Linked DNA regions of Schizosaccharomyces pombe. The protein of the gene in region 1 interacts with the protein of each later gene in a pairwise test. Each region holds a gene or a part of one and is shown on either strand. Other genes may lie near its edges.

What was found. Proteins that work in one complex are often made in the same cells at the same time.
Region 2: the proteins of nta1 (region 1) and aru1 interact in a two-hybrid assay, tested with the Schizosaccharomyces pombe proteins (one large-scale study listed by BioGRID).
Region 3: the proteins of nta1 (region 1) and rrp41 interact in a two-hybrid assay, tested with the Schizosaccharomyces pombe proteins (one large-scale study listed by BioGRID).

Annotation. Positions count from the first base shown.
Region 1 is NC_003423.3:3,837,653-3,847,760, forward strand, and holds nta1 (protein N-terminal amidase nta1), read right to left. Parts: upstream 6,117-10,108; 5' UTR 6,097-6,116; coding exon 5,955-6,096; exon of another isoform or gene 5,909-5,954; coding exon 5,190-5,908; 3' UTR 5,108-5,189; downstream 1-5,107. Other genes in the region: rrp2 (DNA translocase/ SUMO-targeted ubiquitin ligase E3), read left to right, coding at 1,985-5,107; U3 snoRNP-associated protein Utp10, read right to left, coding at 6,795-10,108. UniProt on the Schizosaccharomyces pombe protein: Deamidates N-terminal Asn and Gln. Component of a targeting complex in the N-end rule pathway.
Region 2 is NC_003424.3:1,940,497-1,947,494, reverse strand, and holds aru1 (arginase Aru1), read right to left. Parts: upstream 3,317-6,998; 5' UTR 3,265-3,316; coding exon 2,293-3,264; 3' UTR 2,127-2,292; downstream 1-2,126. Other genes in the region: vacuolar amino acid transmembrane transporter Avt3, read left to right, coding at 1-435, 484-676; SPOM_SPAC3H1.08C (uncharacterized protein), read left to right, coding at 1,394-1,602, 1,643-2,069; SPOM_SPAC3H1.06C (transporter), read left to right, coding at 4,709-6,478.
Region 3 is NC_003424.3:3,159,348-3,166,480, reverse strand, and holds rrp41 (exosome 3'-5' phosphorolytic exoribonuclease Rrp41), read right to left. Parts: upstream 3,355-7,133; 5' UTR 3,261-3,354; coding exon 3,258-3,260; exon of another isoform or gene 3,210-3,257; coding exon 3,170-3,209; exon of another isoform or gene 3,059-3,169; coding exon 2,373-3,058; 3' UTR 2,127-2,372; downstream 1-2,126. Other genes in the region: tif211 (translation initiation factor eIF2 alpha subunit), read right to left, coding at 1-25; ppt2 (holo-[acyl-carrier-protein] synthase new8), read left to right, coding at 3,627-3,811, 3,870-3,958, 4,038-4,162; pdc201 (pyruvate decarboxylase), read right to left, coding at 4,539-6,251. UniProt on the Schizosaccharomyces pombe protein: Non-catalytic component of the RNA exosome complex which has 3'->5' exoribonuclease activity and participates in a multitude of cellular RNA processing and degradation events.

The DNA of each region.
Region 1 (10,108 bases):
ATGAATCAAAGTTAAGTAGTAAGTCTTCGATAACTGATAAAGAGTCTAGAAGAAATTCAAATAATAAATTAGGAGTTTCCAAAAAAAAGAGGTGTCTTTAATAAAAAAAAATCTAATTCAAGGAAAAAAAACTTTTCAATGTTTAATTGCAAACGAATTATCAGTTAATGATAATATATTAAATTAATTGAAAAGTCAACTCAAAAGTGAAAATGTATGCTTGTAAAATGCACACAATATGCAATGTCTAAAGGAAAACGGAAGAGAAAGTTCAATTTAAACGGCAGAAGGAATAACAACGATACTTGGGTATCGCTGAACGCAGAAACGAAAAACGAATATAGCAATTAACGTAAACACGAGAGTCTACTGCAATCAAAATAACAGCAATTGCGCTTTAAACCTACGAGCAAAAAGAAAGAGAAGAAAATATTAAAATAAAAGACCTCAAAAAAAAAAAAAAGCGAAATGCTAACTTCAAAATCAAAATGCAATTTTTAACTCAAATTTGACGCAATTCCCTCGATATTACTTTCTATATGTAGCTCAATTAAAATATAAGAAAATGAGAAATAATATAAGCACAAGGACAAAGGAAACAAAGGAATTGTTCAAATACGGGGTTTCGATGTTGTAGCGTAGGTAAGTTGACTTATCTATCAGCACATTGTTAGGCAATCTATTTATGCAATTATAAATTATTGATTTTTTTAAGGTTTTTCATTTACATAAGTATTTTTTTGAATTTTATTTGTGCAACCATGTTATTAATTATGTCTTTTGAATTTCTTTTCTTATGCAGTTTTGGATTCCTGCGCAGGGTTCCATCGCTTCAGTCATAGTAGTAAAATGAGGTAAATGATTTACGTTGCTTGAAATGTGCAGATCCTACGGATGCGTCATATGGTGCTGGCAAAAGAAAAATGCGAATTTGTAGGTTTAGAGACAGCTTAAATTTTGCTTTCACCGTTTCCATTAATTCTATAAACTTTCATTTTTCATACAGTTGTTTGTCTTTGTATCCACCTGGCTAAATACATTAGAGGTTAAGCGCCAACACTCAGTCATATAAATATTGAATAGTAAGCCGCTAAAGAGAATTCAAGCGACACTACTTGATCAATTTTTAATGAAAGATACCATTATAAATTTAGAAATACAAATAATAATAGTTTTGAAATTTGGTTCTGCTATCAATACCTACGCATTGCACTTTAAAGACAAAGTAATTAGGAAAAAGGTAATGAATATTTTTAATTTAAAAAAAAAAAAAAAAAAAAAAAAAAGAAATTTAGGTATTAAGTAAAGCCATATAGCTTAAAATGCATGGGTATGTAACAGTATTCATATAGATTAGTTGAATTTAGGGGGAAACAACTTTAGAAGAAAGTAGAACATATAAAAACATTAATTAAAATATTTGTTTATTAAAACAATTTACAGCTGCTTTGATACTGCACGGACGATGCTTAAGCTATTTGAAACGTTTAATTAGAAAATTTGCAAAATGCTGCTTGGGAAACTAAGCAAGAAACATCAAAAATTTTTAAAATCGCTTTTAATACTACAATGACAAATTAGAACTGGGTTAAAAATGCTCTCAATTTATTTATTTATTCCGTCCATTTTCATCTCGCTACTAACATTTTTCAAGGATTTAAAAGTTTCACAGTTCTGTTTTTATAAAATATGTATACAGATGACTCTTCAATACCCCTTTGATTTCTTTCAGGTTTACTGATCAGCATTTTTATAAAACTCTCCCAAAACAGAAATTATTATAATAAGAATTTTTTATGATTTAAAAAATTTAATTTCTTTCCTTCCATTTCGAATGATCACAAATTCATGTACACATTTACCCTTGTTAACTTACATTTGGTACTTATTCTAAACTTTTGGGGCGACTGAGTATCACCACACCAGTTTGCCTACCTAAAATTACACACTACATTTTAAACACAAAGCATTTTTTTGCTAATTTATGAGAAATAATACAGCTTTTGAACAATTTACGTTAAATCCATGTGAACAAATACCTTTAGATGACAAACATAACATTGGGTTCAATAAAAATAATACCCCGGACTATTCTTCTTCTGCATCGTCTGACCAATTGTTAAAAAATGATATAAACAGACATGAAATGGAAAGGAGAATTGCTTTTCTTAATCGAAAACAGGCGCTATTCAATGCCTTTATGCATGATTCATCGTCCTCTTTAAATACGATGGAATCTAACATAGAAAAAGTGAATGGCCTTTTTCCTAATGACAATAGTGTGATTGCATTAAAGCCTAATGAAGAGAAGCTGAACAGTTCTCTTTCCGTTGAAAATAATGATTCTACTTACACGGATGCCACTTTAATTGCTCCTAAAATTGGGCTTGATCGTCCAAACATCAATGCAATTACTATTGATGTTGATGGCCACTCTTTGCAAAACGAAATTAGTTCTTCAACAGATAAGCTTAGTCCGAGTCAATCTGATGCACTTTTTGAACAAAAACAGGACTCTTTGTTTTGGAACGACAATGCTGTGATTGTCGTATCTGACTCTGAATCCGATGATAATAATGTTCGGACGAAATCTTCACTGAACGACCATGATAAAGTTAATATGAAGGAAAAAAGGAATTTAGAGCTTGCGTTTATGAATTCGAAAAGGAAAAAACTAGAGTTACCTTCGTTACCAGTTTTATCTACGGCTGGACCTTCTTATACCAATTCTTTAGCTCTTCCTCCTTTTCATCATCATAATAATTATAAGATGTTTAACACAACTCACACTTTAGAAGATGATAAGTTTCTTCAAGGAAAAGGAACTTCTAATAATCCGATCTCTTTATCAGACGAAGAAGATAACGAAATTAATTTTCAGAATAAGCGTTATGGCTCGGATTCAGTCATTCTTCCGGGTGGTTTGTTGCATGATTCCAAGCTACCCGAACCTGGTAAACACTTATTCCACCTTCAATGGTATCACGATAGATTTCACAATATTGAAGGATTCAATTTGTCAGACTCAAATAACCAGAAAGTTCAAGATGATCAGCAACAACAGTTGGAGGAGTTGTTCAAAGATCTTGATGAGCAGCTTGTCAACGATCCAACAATTCGCGAAGGTACACCTGCTGGACTAATACCTACATTAATGGAACACCAAAAGGAAGGACTAATGTGGTTAAAAAGATTAGAAGAAAGCTCTAAGAAAGGAGGGATTTTGGCAGATGATATGGGTCTAGGAAAAACTGTCCAGGCTCTTGCATTGCTAGTAACAAGGCCTCCAGAATCTAAATCAGTTAAAACAACTCTGATTATCACCCCTGTGTCGCTATTACAGCAATGGCATAATGAAATACTTACTAAAATTGCTCCCTCACATAGACCCACTGTTTATATTCATCACGGAAGTTCGAAAAAGCACAAAATTGCTGAACAATTGATGTCGTATGACATTGTTTTGACTACTTATAATGTCATCGCTTACGAGTTTAAAAACAAAATGGCTTATGACAAGAGTATCGAAGATAACGCTCCAATAAAAAAATTTGAACACCTTCCATTTTTTGAAGCAGAGTGGTATCGAGTTATATTGGATGAAGCTCAAACTATCAAAAACAGGAATACGTTAGCTGCTCGTGGATGCTGTCTATTAGAATCAACTTATCGTTGGTGTTTGAGTGGTACCCCTATGCAGAATGGGGTTGAGGAGTTCTACAGCTTGATAAAATTTCTGAGGATTAAACCTTATTCAGACTGGTCAAGTTTTTCAAAGGACTTTACCATTCCTTTAAGTAGCAATATAAACACGTCCGCTCCTATGAAGCGCTTTCGTGGCTTATTAAAAGCAGTGCTACTTCGTAGAACGAAAAATACAAAGATTGATGGCAAGCCAATATTGACACTTCCTCCAAAAACCGCCGTCAAATCTGAAACAGACCTCTCTTCTTCTGAGATGGAATTTTACAATACGCTTCAAAGCGGAGCACAAATTCAAATGCGTAAATATCTTCAAGAAGGGACTATAACTACGCATTACGGTAGTCTACTAGTATTACTTTTGAGACTTCGACAGGCTTGTTGTCATCCCTGGCTAATTGTTGCTCGAGAAGCAGCGGTTGATGATAACGATAGCTTTCAAGCTAAGAATCGTGCAATCTACAACCAAATATATCCCGAGGCTGTCAATCGCCTTAAGTTAATTGAAACGTTGCAATGCTCCTTATGTATGGATGTTGTTGCAGAACTTTTGATAATTGTGCCTTGCGGTCATTTTCTATGTAGAGAGTGCTTAACCCATGTTATTACATCCAGTGAGGATATGGCTAAGCAAACAAGCAACGAAAATATTTCTCCTAAGTGCTCAGTTTGCGAGGAGTACATCGATACTGAAAGGCTTTTGAGTTACGCATTATTTAGACGATATTCTGGAATGGCACCTATTGTCGATGCCGATAACAAATTAAGAACAGAAAACATTTCCGAATTGCTACCTAAACAGTATAGTAATATCTTAGAGAATAGACAAATGGGTATGAAGATCTTTACGGATCCTAAACATTGGACCACTTCTACAAAAATTGAAAAAGCATTAAATGCAGTTAAAGAAATCATCAAGAAACAGCCAACTGACAAAATTTTAATATTTTCACAGTTTGTTTCTTTTCTTGAGCTTTTTACGGTACCCTTTCGACAAGAGGGTATAAAATATCTTATGTATACTGGTGGTCTAAGCACAGCGGAAAGAAATCAAGCTCTTATTAATTTTGAAGTTGATCCGAACGTGAGAGTTTTACTGATCTCTTTAAAAGCAGGAAATGTCGGGTTAAACTTGACTTGTGCAAATCATGTCATCATACTCGATCCATTTTGGAATCCTTATATCGAAGAACAGGCTGTCGATCGAGCACATAGAATTGGACAAGATAAACCGGTAAATATTTTACGAATTGTTACTAATAACACGATTGAAGAGCGAGTTTTAGCCTTACAAGACAGAAAGAGAGAACTAATAGATAGCGCTTTAGGGGAAAAAGGGCTTAGAGAAATTTCACGTCTGAATACAAAGGAGTTGTCATTTTTATTTGGAATGTCATCACGATAATAGAAATTTAACAGGCTTATTAAAACCAATATGTATTATATAATATGTTTTCATGAATAGAAATAAAAAACGTCGCACATCTTTATTTTTCAAGTTCTCCAACTACAATTCCATTCTCAGCAGCTTTCAAGACACCATGTAAGATAGCTCTTCCTTGAGAAAGTTCCATAATACAAGAGGTACCGGAAAAATTTAAATCATTCTCCTTTCCCCACCGATTTGCTACAAGAACGATTGCATCCGTATTCGAATTTATTAACGGTGAAAGTCTAGTGGTCCAGTAATGTAAATTTTTGATGTCGGGCAGGGAAGCATCAATGACTTTATCATCTGACACAAGCCATGCCATACTTAAACAAATAATTGGTCGTGATACATTCGAAGAAACCATTTGTTGATGCTCTAGCTCACGCAAAATGAAGTTTGCATATTCAAACTTCTCAAAAGGAGCTTTAAAATCATACGGGTTAATGTCCATACAAATTGCCATTGAAATAGGGCCCAGTTCAGGAATACAGGGTTCAAAAGAGAAACCCTTGCCTTCAGTGGCCCATGATTTGTCTGTTTCAAAAAGAAAGTGCTTGTGGTAAACGTTCAACAACTCTTTTTTGGGAGAAATGAGAGCTGTACTATTGTAAAGAGTAGAAATGCCGTTTGAGTTTTGAAACTCAGGAAATCCAATGATGGTGTAGCACCGATATTGCTCAGAGACTTCTTGAGCAAATTGAATGCTTGGACAATGATTGCTAGTTACGTTTTCTAAAAAGGGTTGTATACTTTCTGAATTTTTAAAATTGTAGCCTACAGGAAAGTTAGCTAACTCTTCTTAATAATAAAGACCACCCACCAGTTAAGCACATTTCAGGGAAAACCAATAGCTTAACAGACTGTAATGCTTCAGAATGTTGATCCAAAAGCTGGCGAAGATGAACGATGTTTTCGTTCACCTTTCCCAACTTGGGAAAAAATTGTACACATCCAAACTTCATTAGTACTGTCGTTGCTGTTTAAAAGGATGCACTAGTAGTACAAACAAATTTTAAATTGAGAAGTGTTGACCGTTTTTATGACATCGAAGTGGCAAACTCTTAAACAAGTCCTTAGCGAGGCTTTTTTTTACCAATTCGATAGATAAATGGAATTAGAATTTTATCTCTTGTATATAAAAGACCGACAAGAAACTGGCCAAATCACCATTTCCTAGACAAAAACTGACTTAAGCAAATTTAAAGACGTATGCCGTTCCACTAGATTACTGCTATGTAGGATGATTGCACTTTACGAAGTCGCTCAGATATACAATATTTCGATACTTCAATGAAATTTACTGGGTTTTAATACACTGGTTTAAACTTCAAAATTATTTTGCTGCTGTCAAACATTTGTAAACTGCAAAAATTTCTCTCTTAATTTATAGTATTATGAAACCGAAACCAACCAAACTATTTATAATCCCAAGATAATTGAGAATTGATGAATACAACCCTAAAGGTCATTGATGAGAAGACCCATTATGGATTGCAATCAACATGATCGTCTTTTCCTTTTTTTTTGGCAGGGATTAGACGAAAGCGTATATATTCATAACGAATCAATAATTATTTTTTTTAGAATGAAAAATTTAGAAAACGAAAGATTCCGTTTAAAACTCAGCCTGTGAAAAACGGACCCACAACCTCTACAATCCTTATGTAAGGTAATCTTGGAGGGATTCATTCTCACCGAGACGGTCATCTATTATCCGCACGAGCTCAGCCGTAGCAGTTTCAACCTGATCATCATCATCTTCCATTAGTTCAGCAATAAATGGTACTGATTGAGGCAATGTAGAAATCCAATTCTCACCAAGGCGCCCGTAAAGCTGTGTCTGTATTTGGATAGCTAATAAGCGAGCATTGATGTTGGAGGATCGAAGATATTGCAACAACTGAGTATTCATTGATCTAAAGTTGTCGCTTGATGAGGCTACACTAGCCAGTTCGACAATAGCTTTTACTAGGACCTTGTCATCAAGCAAAGGAGCATATTGTATTTGTTCAATTAGAACGGGGCTTATTTTACCAAAACGTGCGGGCACCATCCAAAACTCCTCAGTGTCGTTTTCAAAAGCACTAACGAGACTACTGTTCACTAGATGACGAACTTCACTATTCGTATCTTTCGATGAAAGCAATTCAATCGTGTCATCCAAAACGTAAGCATAATAGTTAGTAACAATGGATTTTAAAGTATCAAGGAAAATGGTTAAAAAGTTGTAAAAAAAAGTTTGCCGAGATACTATTCCAGATGGATCAGTTTCGTACAAATCTTCCAATGCCCATGAATGCAAATGTAAAAACAAAGGACGGAAAGTTGTATCACTCAACTTCATCACGAATTTCAGAAATACATTAACTGCTTGAGTTTCCACATTATCAACGTCTTCCGCAAATAAAAGCGACCGCCTACTGTCAAAGGAATCCAAGAAAAATTTGAATATTGACTTATAAACAGTCCCAATAGCGCTCCTGCTAGAATTTTGTAATGCCAATTCAATCAACTCTAAAAGACGGAGTGCCGCAGTAGAACCAAGTCTTGCACATTCAGGCCATGCCGCAAATATAGATTTCATCAACAATCTAGTAGGTATAAAATTGGCAATTGTTTCAAATAAAAGCTCACCAATAGCATCATGTTCAAACGCACGATCAGAAGCTAAAGCGCATTTTATTGTCGGCTCGACATAACTGCTGCTAAACTCCGGTAATACTTTGAAAAAGTCGATCATCATAGAGAAACATGCTAGCTCTAATAAATCGCCTTCCGGATCTTTTCTAGCATCATCTAAAATAGATAAAGAATAATTAACTATATCGGCCAAGTAAGGCAAGATGCGAGCAGCAAGAGTATTGGTCAAGACGGTGATACATACTATGGCAGATACCTGTACATCACGTGCACTATTCTTTAATCCGTAGGGACCTGAAACCACCTCAATAGGGGAAATAAACAGTTCAGGACTCGCACTAAATCGCTTGGCCATAACAGCAAGACAATCCATAGCTAACTGAGTCGTTTCTTCATCAGAATAGTTGGATATATTGTAAGTAACATCAGGAATTAACGCTGTTAATGCAGACACTTTAGATCCCTGCTGTACCCTTTGTTGTACAATCGACAAAGCTTTACGGCGTAGTAAGGCACGTTCATCATGAAGAAGTTTACCGAGGACAGTACAAAATAATTCATTAGGTAGCAGATGTATCACACTACGTAATGCCACATATACGTGCCCCAACTCCATTTCGTTAGAGCTTTGCTGGCTGAGTGTAATAAGCAATTTTATCGATTCAAACAAACCTGCTTGAATTTCGACAAATGAATCAACAGAATTCTCCATTATCTTCGCCAAATCAAAAGCAAAATTTTTAGCCTTAGACACAAGTGAAATTAACTCCAAAACTTTTACTCGTAATGACCCGAGAGTCGCTAAATCCACATCCATTGGAAGTTCATCAAGTTTTATCAAGCTGACAGCTTTGCCATTTGAGTCTGAATTAGATTGCTCCTCAAGGGATTTTAAGCAGAATCTTGAACATTGATTGATCGATCCAATACGATCAGCAACAGAGAAAGATTGCACAAGTGTTAAGCAGAAGTCATGTATAGCAACAACATTCGTAGATTTGGCCAGCAACATTTTTTCAGCAAACTGTATTAAAACAACGGATAAAAATCTATTTGATCCAATTGTCTGCAAAACTAAACGATAAAGTCGAAGTCGGCGATGTTGAGGGATGTGAGGGAACGCATTCACAAAACATGATACCAGCAAGGAAGAGTCAAAATCCTTACCTAATCTTATTAGTGCAGATATAACAGTTTTGACAGTCTGTTCAATGACATGGATGGAAAATGCATCGTCTCTTGATAAGACAGTACTACCCATAAAAGTAAATATCGGCATAACACCATGTAAAACAGCTTCAGGAGCAGCATTCGCTAGAGCACTAACAAGTAACAATGCCTTATTTTGAATCTGTGGATTATTGGTAGAACGAATACAACCCACTAAGGTATCGATTCTAATGGAGGGTGACAGTTCAGTAATCGGTGAGGCTCCTATCATCTCATATAACAATCCTAGAAGTAGCTGAAGCAAATAATTTGATGAAACAATATCCTCTTTCAAAGCGATAACGCTATTGAGAACTTCGAATAATGGAGAAGCCAACTTTGGATATGAAGCAGCATTTTTTGTCTCCAAAAGCTCTAAAATACGAGTAAGCCTTTGGACATCCCCATCAAATATGTGGCTATCAATGCGTTTGCGTTTGGCAATTGCAGGATTCTTTTCCTTAACCAAGCGGACGCTTCCAATAAGCTTTTTGAAAACAGTGTCAGGAATCTTTATTGAGTCGAGAACATCAACGTAATAGTGAGGTTGTTCATCTTGACTAATCACGGCTTTAACAAATTCAAGTCGTTGAGGATCTTTAAGGTGTGATTGTATTTCAACTATCCGTCGACAGATGGCTTGCGAAAGAACAATGTTAGAAGAAAGAAAAGAAAGAAGAGAGGTAAAACTAGTGTGGTTGAAACAATTAACTAGCGCTTCCACCTCCCGCTTAGAAACGGTCTTAAATTTCTCAGAGTTAAACTCAGATAACTGTTCAAGCCTGGGAAGAAGTATTTGCATCTTTGCATCTTCGACTTTACCATGAACTCTTGTTAAAATTTCTAATAATAAAACCCTAACATTGGACAATTTACTACATGCAGCATGTGAAGAAAGGAAAGATGTGACAGCAATTTCTTTGGAAGCGTTTTTAGGTTTTTTCTCAGTAAAAAGCCTTTCAGGTATATAAGAAAACAGATAAGTACCATCCAGTCCAATTTCTGAAGAACGATCAAGTAGCAAATCTGAACAATAATACTTAGTCTCCACAGGACTGAGCCATCTCAGGTTTTTATTATCATTATCATCCATACCATAGATAATTGAAAATTCCAGATTCTCAT
Region 2 (6,998 bases), on another chromosome or scaffold:
TGTTGCAATGTTTAACAAAACTGATTTTAGTTTATTTATTGGTGTTGCCATTTTTACTTACGAAGGAATTTGTTTGATATTGCCTATCCAAGAACAGATGGCTAAACCAAAGAATTTACCTAAGCTCCTCACAGGTGTGATGGCAGCGATCTCTCTCTTGTTTATTTCTATTGGGTTGCTGTCTTACGCTGCTTTTGGTTCAAAGGTCAAAACGGTGGTTATTTTGAATATGCCAGAGAGTACTTTCACCGTTATTATCCAATTCTTGTATGCTATTGCAATTTTGCTTAGTACCCCATTGCAATTGTTTCCTGCAATTGCTATCATTGAACAGGGAATTTTCACTAGAAGCGGTAAAAGAAACAGAAAAATTAAATGGAGGAAGAATTATCTTCGTGTCTTAATTGTTATTCTAGCTATCCTAATATCTTGGGCGTACGTTTTTCCTTTTTTTTTTTATTTCTTCATTTGCTAACAATTTAGTGGATCTTCACGTCTTGATTTATTTGTAAGTATGGTAGGTAGCGTCTGTTGCATACCGCTTATCTATATGTATCCGCCGATGCTACATTATAAGGCTTGTGCAAATAATTGGATTTTACGTACTCTTGATATTTTTATGTTTACTATTGGTGCCTTCGCAATGGCTTTCACTACGTACATGACATTTTTTTAGGATTTTCACTCGTACGATTTTATATTTATAGGTGGTCTCCATTGATCCTTATGCATTTCATATTACTTTTGGAATTTTTTTTTTCAAAATTTTACATATTTCCTCTAGACTTAATTATTAACGGGTTTACACTGCAAACGCTTTTTCAGTGGGACACTAAATAATATTTATTAATTACTATATAAGATACGTCGAATATTTTACAGATACCGAAAACTATTTGAGGCTTAGGATTAAGAAAATCGTATTTTTAACATTGAGAAAGAAGTTTGTTTAATATTGTACATTTTATTTTTACGCAATTTCAGCATCCACAATCTTATTTGTTAGCGTACATTTGGTGCTGGTGTAAATGCTATATTAAAGACTGGCCCGCTAAAATTTAAAGCAAGTTGGTTTACCTTAGTCATAATTTGTGAAGAATAATCATGGAAATAAAACCCAATTTAAATCGTTTAAAAAATTATTATTTAATATACATATATATTTCTTTTATTTTTAGAGACTAAAATATTCATTAGTCCGCCTTATTTTACCATATCAGAAACACCAAAACCTCTAAATTATCACCACCGAACGTAGTAGTATAAAGATTGATTTTCTTCAAATGCAATTGTCTGCTTCTTTAACATAATTTACTTTTTTTGACGTATCTTTTCTCAAATCGCCCATGAATATTGAATCGTTCCTTAGAATTTACAAATAAAAAAGGAACAAATGATTATTCGGAAACAAATTTTCCCATTTCTAAGTCAAAATAGACCTTGGACGATTATTAATAGAATCCAATCCGAAAGATATTCTGCATCTTATGAACCAAGCCCTGAATTGCTTAAACAGTCTTCCAGAAGACTAGAGCAGGCTGGTTATTCTGTAAAAAATGCAGAAACAATTACTAATTTGATGAGGACCATTACTGGAGAGGCGTAAGTAAAAAGTTTAAGAGCTTTCCAACTAACGTTATAGGCTTACAGAGTTAGAGAAAAATATAGGATTTAAAGCTAAGCAGGAATCTGTGTCGTTCCAGCAAAAAAGAACATTTTTACAAATTCGGAAGTATTTGGAGACGATTGAGGAAAATGAATTTGATAAAGTTAGGAAAAGCTCTGATAAACTTATTAACGAAATTGAAAAAACCAAGAGTTCTCTCCGCGAAGACGTTAAAACCGCTTTGTCTGAAGTCAGATTGAATTTAAACCTTGAAAAAGGACGTATGAAAGATGCCGCAACGTCTAGAAACACAAATATTCACGAAAATGAAACGAAAATTCTCAATGAAGTGGATATTTTACACAAAGAAATTAATGACATGAAAATACAAACCAATCAATGGTTCACCGGTTTCGTTGGAGTCGTATCCTCCGTTGTACTGATTATTTTGTTTTACTTTTAGTGATTATCCTTAATAAAAATGTTTACGTGATAATATGCTTTTACTCAACTTCAGTAATCAGATCAAAAAACTTGTTAATACCTAAGTCAATTCTATTTAAACGGTTAAACAATAGTAACGTTATTTATATTTTTTCCCTTAATTCCACATAAAAAGAATGCACTCTTCGTCCCGTCAGCTCATGAAAATCAATATTCGTTTTATATATTGATAAATTGTAATTTTAAAGTAAAGTTTGACCAAGACTAGTACGAACGATAGAGCGGGCCAAGTCCACCGTAGTCTTGGCCTCCTCTTCATTACCAAGTAGTGGATTAACCTCCATAACATCAACAGCAACCAATGTACCGGATTCAGCTACAGCTTCGCAGATGTACATTGCCTCACGGAAAGTCAAACCGCCTGGAACACGGGTACCAGTGGCTGGGGCAACGATGGGATCGCAAGCGTCAACATCGAAGGAAAGATGGACAGGTCGTCTCTTACCAGGATTGATGTGCTCCATCGCCATCTCAACGACACGGCCAATTCCGTATTTGTCGACGTGGTGCATGGTATAAGCGGCTATGTTACGCTCACGAAGAAAAGCGCGCTCCATAGGATCTAAATCACGCAATCCAATAAAAGCCAGACGACGCTCTTCAATAACTCTCTTGGTCCAAGCAAACTCTTCAGGGAGAGGCTCGGCGTATCCTAAAGAAAATGACAAGGGGCAACCATGAAGATTTTTAGAAGGAGAAGATTCAGGAGTGTTAATGTCAGCGTGAGCGTCAATCCACAAGACACAGGCATCATCATAAACGGCCTGCACACCCTCCACAGTACCAATGGCAAGAGAATGATCACCGCCAATGTTGACAACAACTCTTTGCTGTTCTAATTCACGTTGGACAGCATCACGAACTTGACGAGTAACATTGCTAACGTATAAAGGGTTTTTCATTAAAGCCTGGTTGGGACCCTCCTTGGAAGGACGACTTTTAAATTCGGGGTTTTGGATGAGCTTGACATCGTATCCAAGGTGTTCCAAATCATCCACAAGGCCAGCCTTTTCAACCATTTCGGGAGCCAACTCTGCACCGTCCTTGGGCTGGCCACCAGAGAAAGGCATGTTTATGATGGAAACACCATTTCCCATCATAAATCTACTTAACATCAAATGACGGTGGTTATCACTAATTTTATGAGGAGACATTTTTTTTATTTTCGAGTACTTTTCAATAAGAAGAGAAAGAATGGCATATACTAAAGACAAGTTCAAAAACGGAATGAAAATTAATATACTTGCTCTTTCTTAAGTCCGTGGAGGCCACCCAGAAATATTAGCGAATCTCATTCGCAGGTTATATCAGAGTAATTCCGCGTTGTAAAATTTTCACTAAGGTAACATGTTCTTCACCTTTATTTCACTATCTTCTTTATCTTTCTCGATAAAGGGAAGGTTCGTTCTTTGTTTAGTAGTGATATGGCAGATCTAAAGTTATCTATTTTTCTTCTTATGAATGTATTGTGAGCTAGATATGCAGGTTTTCAGGCCTCTCCTACTGCTTAAATCATGCTTAGATCCTTGGGGGTCGGGTGTTGAAATTTCAACAGTCGGAATAATCGCTTGTAACTTTGATGTTTTGCAGTAGCTGTCGTTTTTTTTTTTCTTAAAGTCTTCCTAATGGCTGTGCATTGCCCAGTTATTTTCCGATGTCCCAGTGCGATTCTTAAACTAAAAGAACGTTTTAATATCGAGTTTCAATACAAAGGGAAATTTGTATAATAGTTCATACGTTACATACTACTTGCATACTTATAGCAACTATAGCTTTATTTTTACTGCTTTCTTTTATCATCTCTTTTGCAGGTTAACGTTAGCTCTTTTTTGTTTAACCATTATAGTATTGCATTGCTTCTAGGTTTCTCCTAAGAAACTTGCTTAAAGATTGAATACTGAAATTTGCTTTGTTTATAGTCAAATCAAAATACCTCATTTTTTGTAAATTTTTTCAGTCAACCTAACAATCAATAATAGTCTGTCTCTTCGCTACTGTCACTTTACGATCGAACTCAGCTCGTTCACACTATGCAGCATCGTTGTTTCTCTCTTTCTGTTTACTGAACCTTACTGCATGTTCTAAAATTTGTTTAATTGTGGCTGTTCCAAACAAAAGTGTATACGGAGTTATCATTCAGAAATCATGCCAAAGTCATAGTCAGGATGCTCAAATACTCATCCCTTTGATGCTCAACTAGGGTTGCCTTTGTCTTTGTGCACTTCCTTTATACTGTTGTGCATGGACTTTATCTATGTGCTGCCACTAGGCATTCTAGTTCAGCCTGATGCGTGCTTCCTCGGAATCTCCTATCTTTGTAAATCGTCAAAAAGTTCCATTGTAAATTAATATAACAATGCGTCCGTTTCCATTTAAAAACTATTCAAGCACTATAGCTGCTATGTGAATGTTGTTTTTCATCCTTTAATTTCTTCATTTGTTATATTTCTAATCAAGAGTGTCATTATATTGCATTACTTTAATTTTTCTTGCATTCCTTACTATTTTCTTTTTGAATTTTACTTCATTTCGTTTTGCATTTTGTAATTGTGAACCCCTTTCTTTACAATTGCATTTGTCTCTCAGCTCCAAGATATTATGAACCCTTCGTCTTCTCCAAATCGTAGCTTGAATCCGACTAGAGGATTGAATCTCTATAGCACAGGGAATGAGGTAACATGGTTCTCTTCCACCGTTGATGAGGTGAACGAGCTAAAGCCTGCAAAATCAAAAGCCTTTTCTATTTCAGCCCAAGATCAAATTTATGGTACTAGTTCTCTAAAGTCTCGGTTTTCAACCCATGAAGCATCGTCTGAGAAAGATGATTCTTCCGATTTCACCCTCGTGTTGCCCTCCAATCGAATGTACATCGTTATTCCAGGACTTATGTTGTCGATTTTCCTGTCCGCCTTGGACCAAACTGTCATTACTACAGCTATTCCCACTATTGTAGCAAATCTCGATGGCGGTTCATCGTATTCGTGGATTGGTACTGCTTATACTTTGGCTCAAACTTCAATTCTTCCATTTTGTGGTATCATGAGTGAAGTAGTCGGTAGGAAAATTGTCCTCTATACTTCCATTGTTCTTTTCCTCTTCGGTAGTGCCATGTGTGGTGCTGCCCAAAATATGCTTTGGCTTGTACTATGCCGTGCTGTGCAGGGCATCGGCGGTGGAGGCATTACATCTCTAGTTACAATCGTTATAGCTGACATTACTCCTTTACAGACTAGACCTTACTACACAGGTTGTATGGGAGTCACCTGGGGCCTTGCTTCTGTCATGGGTCCTTTAATCGGTGGTGCAATTTCGCAAAAGGCTAGTTGGCGGTGGATTTTCTTCATTAATCTACCTACTGGTGGTCTTTCGCTCGCACTTTTGATTTTTTTCCTCAATCTTGTACCCAAGCCTACAGTTTCGTTTCGCGTGTTTTTACGTGATTTTGACTTTGTGGGCATTATTACCATTACGACTGGTGTTGTGTTGTTTTTAGTTGGTTTGAATATTGGATCTACAACAGGTCATTGGGCCCATGCCAATGTCTTGTGCTATTTAATTTTTGGTATCCTGTGCATTGCCGGTTTTGTTGTCAATGAATTCTATACTACCCGTACTAGAATTATTACTCCCTCGGCATTTAAAACGCTCTCTTTAACATCTGTAATGGTAACATCCTTTTTACATTATTATATTGTCTCAACAATTACTTACTACATCCCAGTATACTTCCAAAACATTAAAGGTGACGGGCCCTTGATGTCTGGCGTTCACACATTATCTCTAGCGGTTGTATCCTCACTTCTTTCTGCTGTTAGTGGTATGGGAATAGGAAAGTTGAAAAATTATCGATATCCAATGATTGGAGGATGGATAGTTTTATTAGCTGGTACCGGTAGTATGATTGCGATATATTATAACACGGACATATCACGTACCATGGGATTCTTGGCTTTGACAGCAGTCGGAACTGGAAATCTATTTCAACCAAATCTCATTGCTGTTCAAGCTTCTGTACCTCCTGCTTTGATAGCGACTTCCTGTTCTGCATTTATGCTGCTAAGAAATATGGGTGCATCTGTGGGAATATCGATGGGAGCGGTAATCTATGATCAGCAACTAACGACACTTTTAAAAGGAACGAAGTATTCTGCAGGGCTATCATACTCTCAAATTGCTTCAATTCCCAACGTAAGCGAAAAGAACTTTGTATTCAATGCCTATGCTAATGCCATTCGTATGATTTGGATTGTAAATTGTCCAGTTGCAGGAGTAGGAATGCTTTTGTCGTTTTTTACAAAGCAAGAGAAGTTATCTCAAAGCGTCACGGAGTACAAAGAAAAGGATAAGGGATTCAAAGATGCTCCTTAAAAACCGTTCTTTTTTTTTAAACCTTTGTGGAAAAATCACTAGACAACCGGTTATCAATTTTTACTTTTTGCTATATTGAAATTATAGCACTGTTGTTTATCTGCTTGAAATTTTCTCCACCTACGTTTAATGATGAAGACGCTTTGCTATTCGACTTCCAATGTTTAATGTTTGCAAGTTTAATTGTAAGCAAGCATAATTTTGATTTGTCCTCCTGATATATCTTTCTATGAATAGTGGATTTTTAGGCAAGTCTTAAATTAGTTAATTGATTAATATGCTCATACGTTCCCTTCGCTTTTGATATTTCGCATTTGCTGGTGCTGTCCACCATACTCAAATTTTATGAACCAATTTTGTATGTGCTGTTACGAGTTATTGCATATCGTCTTTTTTTGTTTTGATGTTTCTTTTTTTTTATTGATTTTTTTCCCCCTGACTTTATTTTCGTTAAGGAATGTTGCAATTTCTCAAATTTAGTTTAGTATACGTTCATATTGAATCGTTGCTACTCATTGTT
Region 3 (7,133 bases), on another chromosome or scaffold:
ACATTCTGCAGCTTGTCGTCGACATTTTTGCAAAGTGTTGAGTGTTTGGTTCTGAGTAAAAATTTGTGTGGACTACCCACTTCTAAACTCTAGGGGCCAATTTTGCTTCTTTTCAGAACCCAGACATTGGTCATTTTAACTTAACTGTTTATCAATAATTATTCTTTATATTTAAAAAGTTTCCTTAAAGAAGATTTATTAGTATCTAAAAGCACATAACGATCGGTGATAACTGGCTTACCAGCCGAACGCTGAATAAACTAGCAGTAAAGTATTTAATAAACTAAAGTGTTTAATAAACTACTAGTTTACTACATCGTTTAGAATTACAGATAATATACTTAAACTTTCTTTTCCCTCAAACGAAAATTACAATTGGAAAGTTTACGAATAGAAGACTCTGTCTAATTGATTCCACTTGTTCCTTTGACTAGAGTAAAGAATTATTTTATTGAAAAGTTGTTAATCCATTGCCTTACAAACCATCCATCACCGTTTTTTGGATTACAAAAAAAAGTGAGAACTCGTATTAATGAAATTCAAAAGGTTATCAATGCCAAACTCAAGAATAGTTGAGGAAATGTGTTTTCAACAGTCTTTGAATATAAACTATTACAAACAAACTTTTTTTTTTCAATGCGCTTCTCGTAGATACATTGAATCAAGAATGCATCTAAACTTAGTAAAGACAACCAGTTGAATATGTCTTTTATATAAATATAAAAGTTCTTTAACACTTGTTCATGAAAATGAACAAGATGTGGTACTAATTTGTGAATTGTATTTCATTTTTTGTCTGTTGTGGGATGTCCTCCATTCCGATTCGTACCTGGTCAATACAAGAATTGCGCTGTAACGAAAGTACTCATCTAGTACCTAGAATGAGAAAAGCCGCTTTAAATTAATTACAAGTATTTTCCAAATATGTTAATATAAAAAGAAGCAAATCATCAACAAAAAAAGATGAGCCTACAGCACCCCGGATTCCCATGTTGTCTCCAACCATAGTACTAACGAGGCCCTCAGACGCTTAACTGCAGTGATCGGACGGGAACTGGTGTTTTCGCCTAGGTATGGCCGTAGACGTTTAAATAGTATATTTATAACATGTATAAGCAATAAGTTTTTGAAGGCAAAGATAGAAAGCATTTAGGGAAACTGATGTATTCAATCAAACTGATAAAATTAAAAACTGTTGAAGGCATATTTCAGTATGCTGTCTAGTAAAAACAATTGAAAACAATAAAACGTACAAAACTTAAATCAGGCCGCGATGAACTGGTATGTATATAATTGCCAGATATTTGCGCAACGGTATTCTTGACAGTGCTATGAAAGCATCAAAAACAGAAAGGGGAAACTTAGTCATGCAGTTTGACGAAGTTTCATTTTTACTTTGGTTGAACGGCACGAGATTCCTCATTTTTAAAACGAAGGTAATATTAACTGTTGATCCTACAGCGATTCTTCCATTTTATTAATCAAGATGTCCTTGAAATCAGCAATCAACTAGTAACGGCAGAATTTGAGTATGTATATTCGATGAATTGTGAGAAACCCTATTTACAAGAATATGCATTAATAAGTATCTTAGTATACTCATTTTGTAGCTTTCAATGCTTATTAGAAAGGCCGATCTGTGATCGAAAAATATAAAAACTGCTCCGGCAGTGACTCGAACACTGGACCTCCTGTTTACGAGACAGGCGCTCTACCACTGAGCTACAAGAGCTACTGTTAGTTTGCACCATTATAGAAATATATAAAATAAAAATACTGTGTTTTTCATATTTTAACATTAACAAATTTAACATTTATCTCGAAAAACAGTTTTACGATTCTCATAATAAACCTTAGGTTTCTTATATCTAAAAATCTAAAAAAATATATATATATATATATATTTTCTTTTTAATCCACATCAATCTGTAATATCTGTTGAATGAAAAATTCCCGGTTGTTTATGAAAGCCTCCCCCAAAAAATAATCAATTTATTATAATAAGTGAGATCTGAATAACCGAATTTATTCATAAAATCTTCAACTAATTAATGAGCCTTTTTTGATGCATAATATCTACAGTACAATCCATATTTTTTGTAATATAAGCCCCTTTAGACAAAAAAGGGACGCAATCATTAAAAGATTATATACGATATTCGAGGTGATTTTTTTGATACTTATACAGAAATACCAAGGATAAGGACAAAAACGTTGTACTAGGAATAAAATGAGTAAAGCTGTATACGTTTTGTCAGAATATCGTAGAGCTAAGTAAAGTTGCAATTGTGATGACTTATCAATGTATAATTATAAAAATTAATCTTCCCGTTCATTTATTTTTAATAGTTTTTTTCCCCAAAATTTTGTCATTAGCTGAGACTTGCAAGTGCCGGTTTAGCGCTTTGTCGAACCGCACTTTGCATCGTGTTATAAATATGTTCTGATCCAGCGATCGCCATATTCATTACTGACTCCAAATAATCCAAATGCATACTAGTTTCCAGCTGCATATATACGACCTTTTTTATGTTCCCCAAAACAGCAACCGTCAACCATGAAAGAGCTGACTCCTCTAGTGAGTTTAAATCCAACAGCATATCAGACTCAACAATCCCAGCTGTACTACAGCAAACGAAATCTTTAACTGGTATACCAGCATCTATTAAGGCAAGAGTAGTAGCGTTGATACAAGATGCCATTACTGCACCATCATCTTGTAAAACATGCAAGTAGACAGAAATTTGACTTCTGGGATATAATTCTGTTTGAATTATCTCCTCAAATGTATTTTGTAAAGCTAAACATTGCAATTGAATTCTCCTATCCGATTTAAATCTCTTTTTCACATCTATTGTGCTGAAAGAAGCAATGTTTATTTCGACATTCACAAATGTTCTGTCAGCTCTAGCTTTGGACTTTATTACAGGCTCCGAGGGTCCATCGACTATACACAAGACCTTTGTGTTACCCAATTCAATAAACGCCGACCCATTCTCCGAAGGCTCGATTCCAATACGACACTGAAAGTTTCTCATCTCATCCCACCGTCGACCATCTTGCAACAAATATTAGCACACAGAAAGATTAATACATTTTATAAGAATCATAGATGTTTGAATGTAAATTTTAAGTTTCTTTTTCATTTCCCATAAATGAATTGGCTTACCATTTCGAAGACCTTCAAGGGATAAAATCTCAAAGTGTGACTATATGGTTAGTACTCGTATTATCTAGAGATAAATTCTATCTCTTACCATATGAAATTTTTTTTTTCGTGATTGAAAGGATTACAAATATATAATTTTTGGTTCCCTTTGAACACTTTTGTAACTGGGAGTGAGTAGAGAGTACACTTGTTACAGTAAAAACTCCTGCTACTGCATTCGCTACGAAACGAATTGGATTTGATGTCTTTGGGGGCACTAATCGATAATGAATTAGATAAATTTATTTCATTTTATTTAAGGATAAAGATTTTTATATCTCGTTTAGTGTGTCGGAAATTTAGTTTACAATATATTATTAATTAAGCGTTCAAAATTATTGAAGCCATAGATTTCTTTTTTTCTTCTTGCATTACCATTAATATTTCCTGTTCATGTTATAAAGAATCAAAAATCGAAATGGGTTTAGGGATTGACATTTTAAAAATTTCAAGAATCTCAAGATTAATTCAACGCTCTCCTGAATGGGAAAAGAACTTTTTAAAAAAATGTCTGTGTGAAAATGAAATTAAAAAGTACAACCTGATTAAAAGCAATTCCTCGCTGCCTCGTTTAAGCGAACAGGCTAAATGGCTTGCTGTTAGGTATGCTTGTCTATATTTATGATCGTTTCATAGTTTTAACGGTTATTTTCCTATGTAGATGGTGCGTCAAAGAAGCTGTTTTCAAAGCTTTACAACCGAATTTTCGAGTTTACATGTCTATGATGGAGTATGTTCGAACTCCCACAGGTGTGTCATTTGTTTTCCATGTTCAATGTTTAAAAATAAAAGGTTTGTAAAGTTACTGACTTTGTTATGATTAATATAGGCTACCCTTCCGTTGTTATTCATGATCCCCGATTTCCGCTTTCTCCCGTAATGGTATCTGTAAGCCATGAGGAAGATTTGGTTGTAGCGAATGCTTTGTATCTACCATCTATGCCAAAGACATAGACGAGAGACCAAATTGAAGGTACTATATTATTTAGTGATTCTATTGCTGCTACTCATTACCAGTCGTCTCAATGACCTTTTTTTATGTTATTGAGTTTATACTAACAGGGAATTATCTGGACAAGTCTACCTTGGAGTAAGGGGATGCAAAAAGAAAAAAAAAATAAATCATTCAATGAATCCTAATTACCAACAAAAAAACAACCGCTGCATAAACTTCAATATATTCATTCATTTTATGAAAGAAATATGGATTGACGTAGAAAAAAAAAACGACTGTTGCAAATTAACTAACCTAACAAAAGCATCATTTGAGAAATATTGTAAATTTCAAAATCAAAAACATATCATAATAATATAGCCATAGCCATATTTTTTACTGCTTGTTAAGAGAAGCGGTAAGTTTGGCTTGCTCAATCAAAACACGAGGAGCATCCAAGACAGGCATATGAACTTCAACGAGCTGAATTACATCAGCTTTTCCAAATTCCTCATCTTTAAAGAGATCGAGGAGCTCCTTTTCTGAATGAATGTTATAGGAGCGAGAATTTTTGGCACCATAGCCTTTAAGAAGGTTTTGATAGTCCCATTCAGTGTTGATGTCGTTGTAAACAGCGTGAAGACCGTGAATGAGACGTTCAATTGTATATCCCTTATTGTTAATTACAAATATGATAGGGGTGAGACCGTTACGGATGGTAGCAGAAATTTCCTGAACAGTTAAATGAAGGGAACCGTCACCAACAATCAATATGGAACGACGGTGAGGAGCATCGGAATCCTTGATGCCCAACGTAGCACCAAACATAGCGCCAACCGACCAACCAATTGAGCCCCATAATACCTGTGAGAGATTTTGGCAGCCTTTGGGGAAAATGCAATCCAAAATACCAAAGTTGGAGGTACCTGTCTCGGTAGTCACTACATCGGACTCACGAAGAAAAGAGGCAAACGTAGGCCAGAACCATTTGTGGGTAATGGTTCCTTCGGCGTAACCCTCAGCAGCAACAGCCTTTGGTGGCTCAAAGTGAACAGGACGGGCCTTTGCCTGAACGGACTTTTTGTCAATGGCAGCGGTGAGCTTGGGCAACAAATGTTTCATCGAAATGCCCTCGTAAACGCCAGAACGAATTTTGGTGTAGTCGGAATGAAATTCGATGGTTTGAGATGCAGGGGTAGCATAAGTAAAGGTGCCCGAGTTGAAATCGGAGCGAAGACCACCGATGATGAGAAGCAAGTCAGTAGATTCGGCACGTTCTTTGATGGAAGGCTCGGTCAAGGAGCCAATGTAGACGCCATCAAAGTAGGGGGATGACTCATTGATCGCAGTCTTACCCATGGGAGTAACGTAAGTGGGGAAATGGGTCGCATCAATAAAGTCTTGGGTTTCCTGTTGAATGTGGAAGCGGGAAACACAAGCGTCAACGAGGATAGAAGGGTTCTTGGATTTTTCGATCAATTCGAGAATCTCAGAAACCACCTCGTGCTCAATCTCCTTGTTGTTTTCGGGAACAGGGAAAACCAATGGAGTCTTCAAGGGAGAAGCATCCGTGTAGAAGTAGCCGGCGTCCGAAGGAACGGCCAGATAAACGGGTCTTGAAGTGCGAACGCACGTTTCCAACAGGTTGTCGATGAGACGACCGGCAGAGTCACCGCTATCCAGGAAGGCGACATCGGCAGACAACTCGGAGGACATACGCTGGAAGACTTTAAAGTCACCATTTCCCAGTGTGTGATGAAGAAGGGGACGAGTGGCTTGAGCCTTGGTGTTGGGAACACCGACAATGTGAACGACAGGAATACGTTCAGAGTATGCGCCGGCGAAACCGTTGAGTGCGGAAAGTTCACCGACGCCAAAAGTGGTGACGATGGCAGAAATGCCCTTAACACGAGCATAAGCATCAGCGGCATAAGCACCGTTTAGCTCGTTTTCATTACCGACCCAGCGAAACGTTTCGTCGCCCACTTTCTCAATCAAATCGAGCAAAGCCAAGTTAAAGTCGCCGGGTACACCGAGGATGGATTTGATGCCCAATTGCAGCAAACGGGTGAAAAGGTATTCACCAACGAGGACTTTTTCGGAAGACATGATACAGGAGTACAACAAAACACGCTACTTAAACAAGACAAGCAAGCAAGTAAGAAGAGCAAAAGGATAGAATGAAAAAGAGAAGGAGAAGAGAAGAGAATAGAGGTGAAAAGAAGAGAAAAGATTGGTCAAAGGAAATGAAAAAGCTCAACAAAGAAAGAGGAGGAATGATACAAGGATCTCAAAAGCAAGTCAAACAAACAAATTTGGGTTTATTAAAAAAAAAAAAAAAAAAGTATAGTATAGTATAGTATAGTATAGTATAGTATAGTATGTGATAAACAAAGGAAATATACAGAGCACAGTAAGATGAATTAATTCCTTTGATATAGATGAGAGAGAGGTTTTAAGTTTGTTTCTTTCTTAACTAAAAAGAATAATAAAAATATGTATGAAACGTGAAAAATTGTTTTAAAGACGAATGAAATGACAGCAACCGCCTCTCCTTTTATAATCTGTGTGACAAGGCCTACAGCATTGACTTTGCAGCATGATTCATCTTTGATCGGTGTATCAATACGCACAACCGATTTGGTCAAGTAAAATCACAGAGGCAAAACTTCGGCTTACTTGATCAGCTTCCTATTTCCATGCAAGAATACCATTGCACTTTGATTAAATTAGCTTGCATTAAAGTTCAGGCTACAAAAACATATTCGGACAACAATGACAAGTATCCGACCAATTACTAAATTCAATGTGCGAACCTCTCCACTCTCGGGTAAGAAGAGTGCATACAAAGCCTTTAGACTTTGTTGTCATGCGCTTCCCTGATACGTAAGTAAATGACAATTAAGATGGAAGGGATTGCGAATGTCGCTTACGTGGCGATGGGCTTGGATGGATGGGCAAGCGGTCAGTCGCTGTTTGTTTATTACGGGA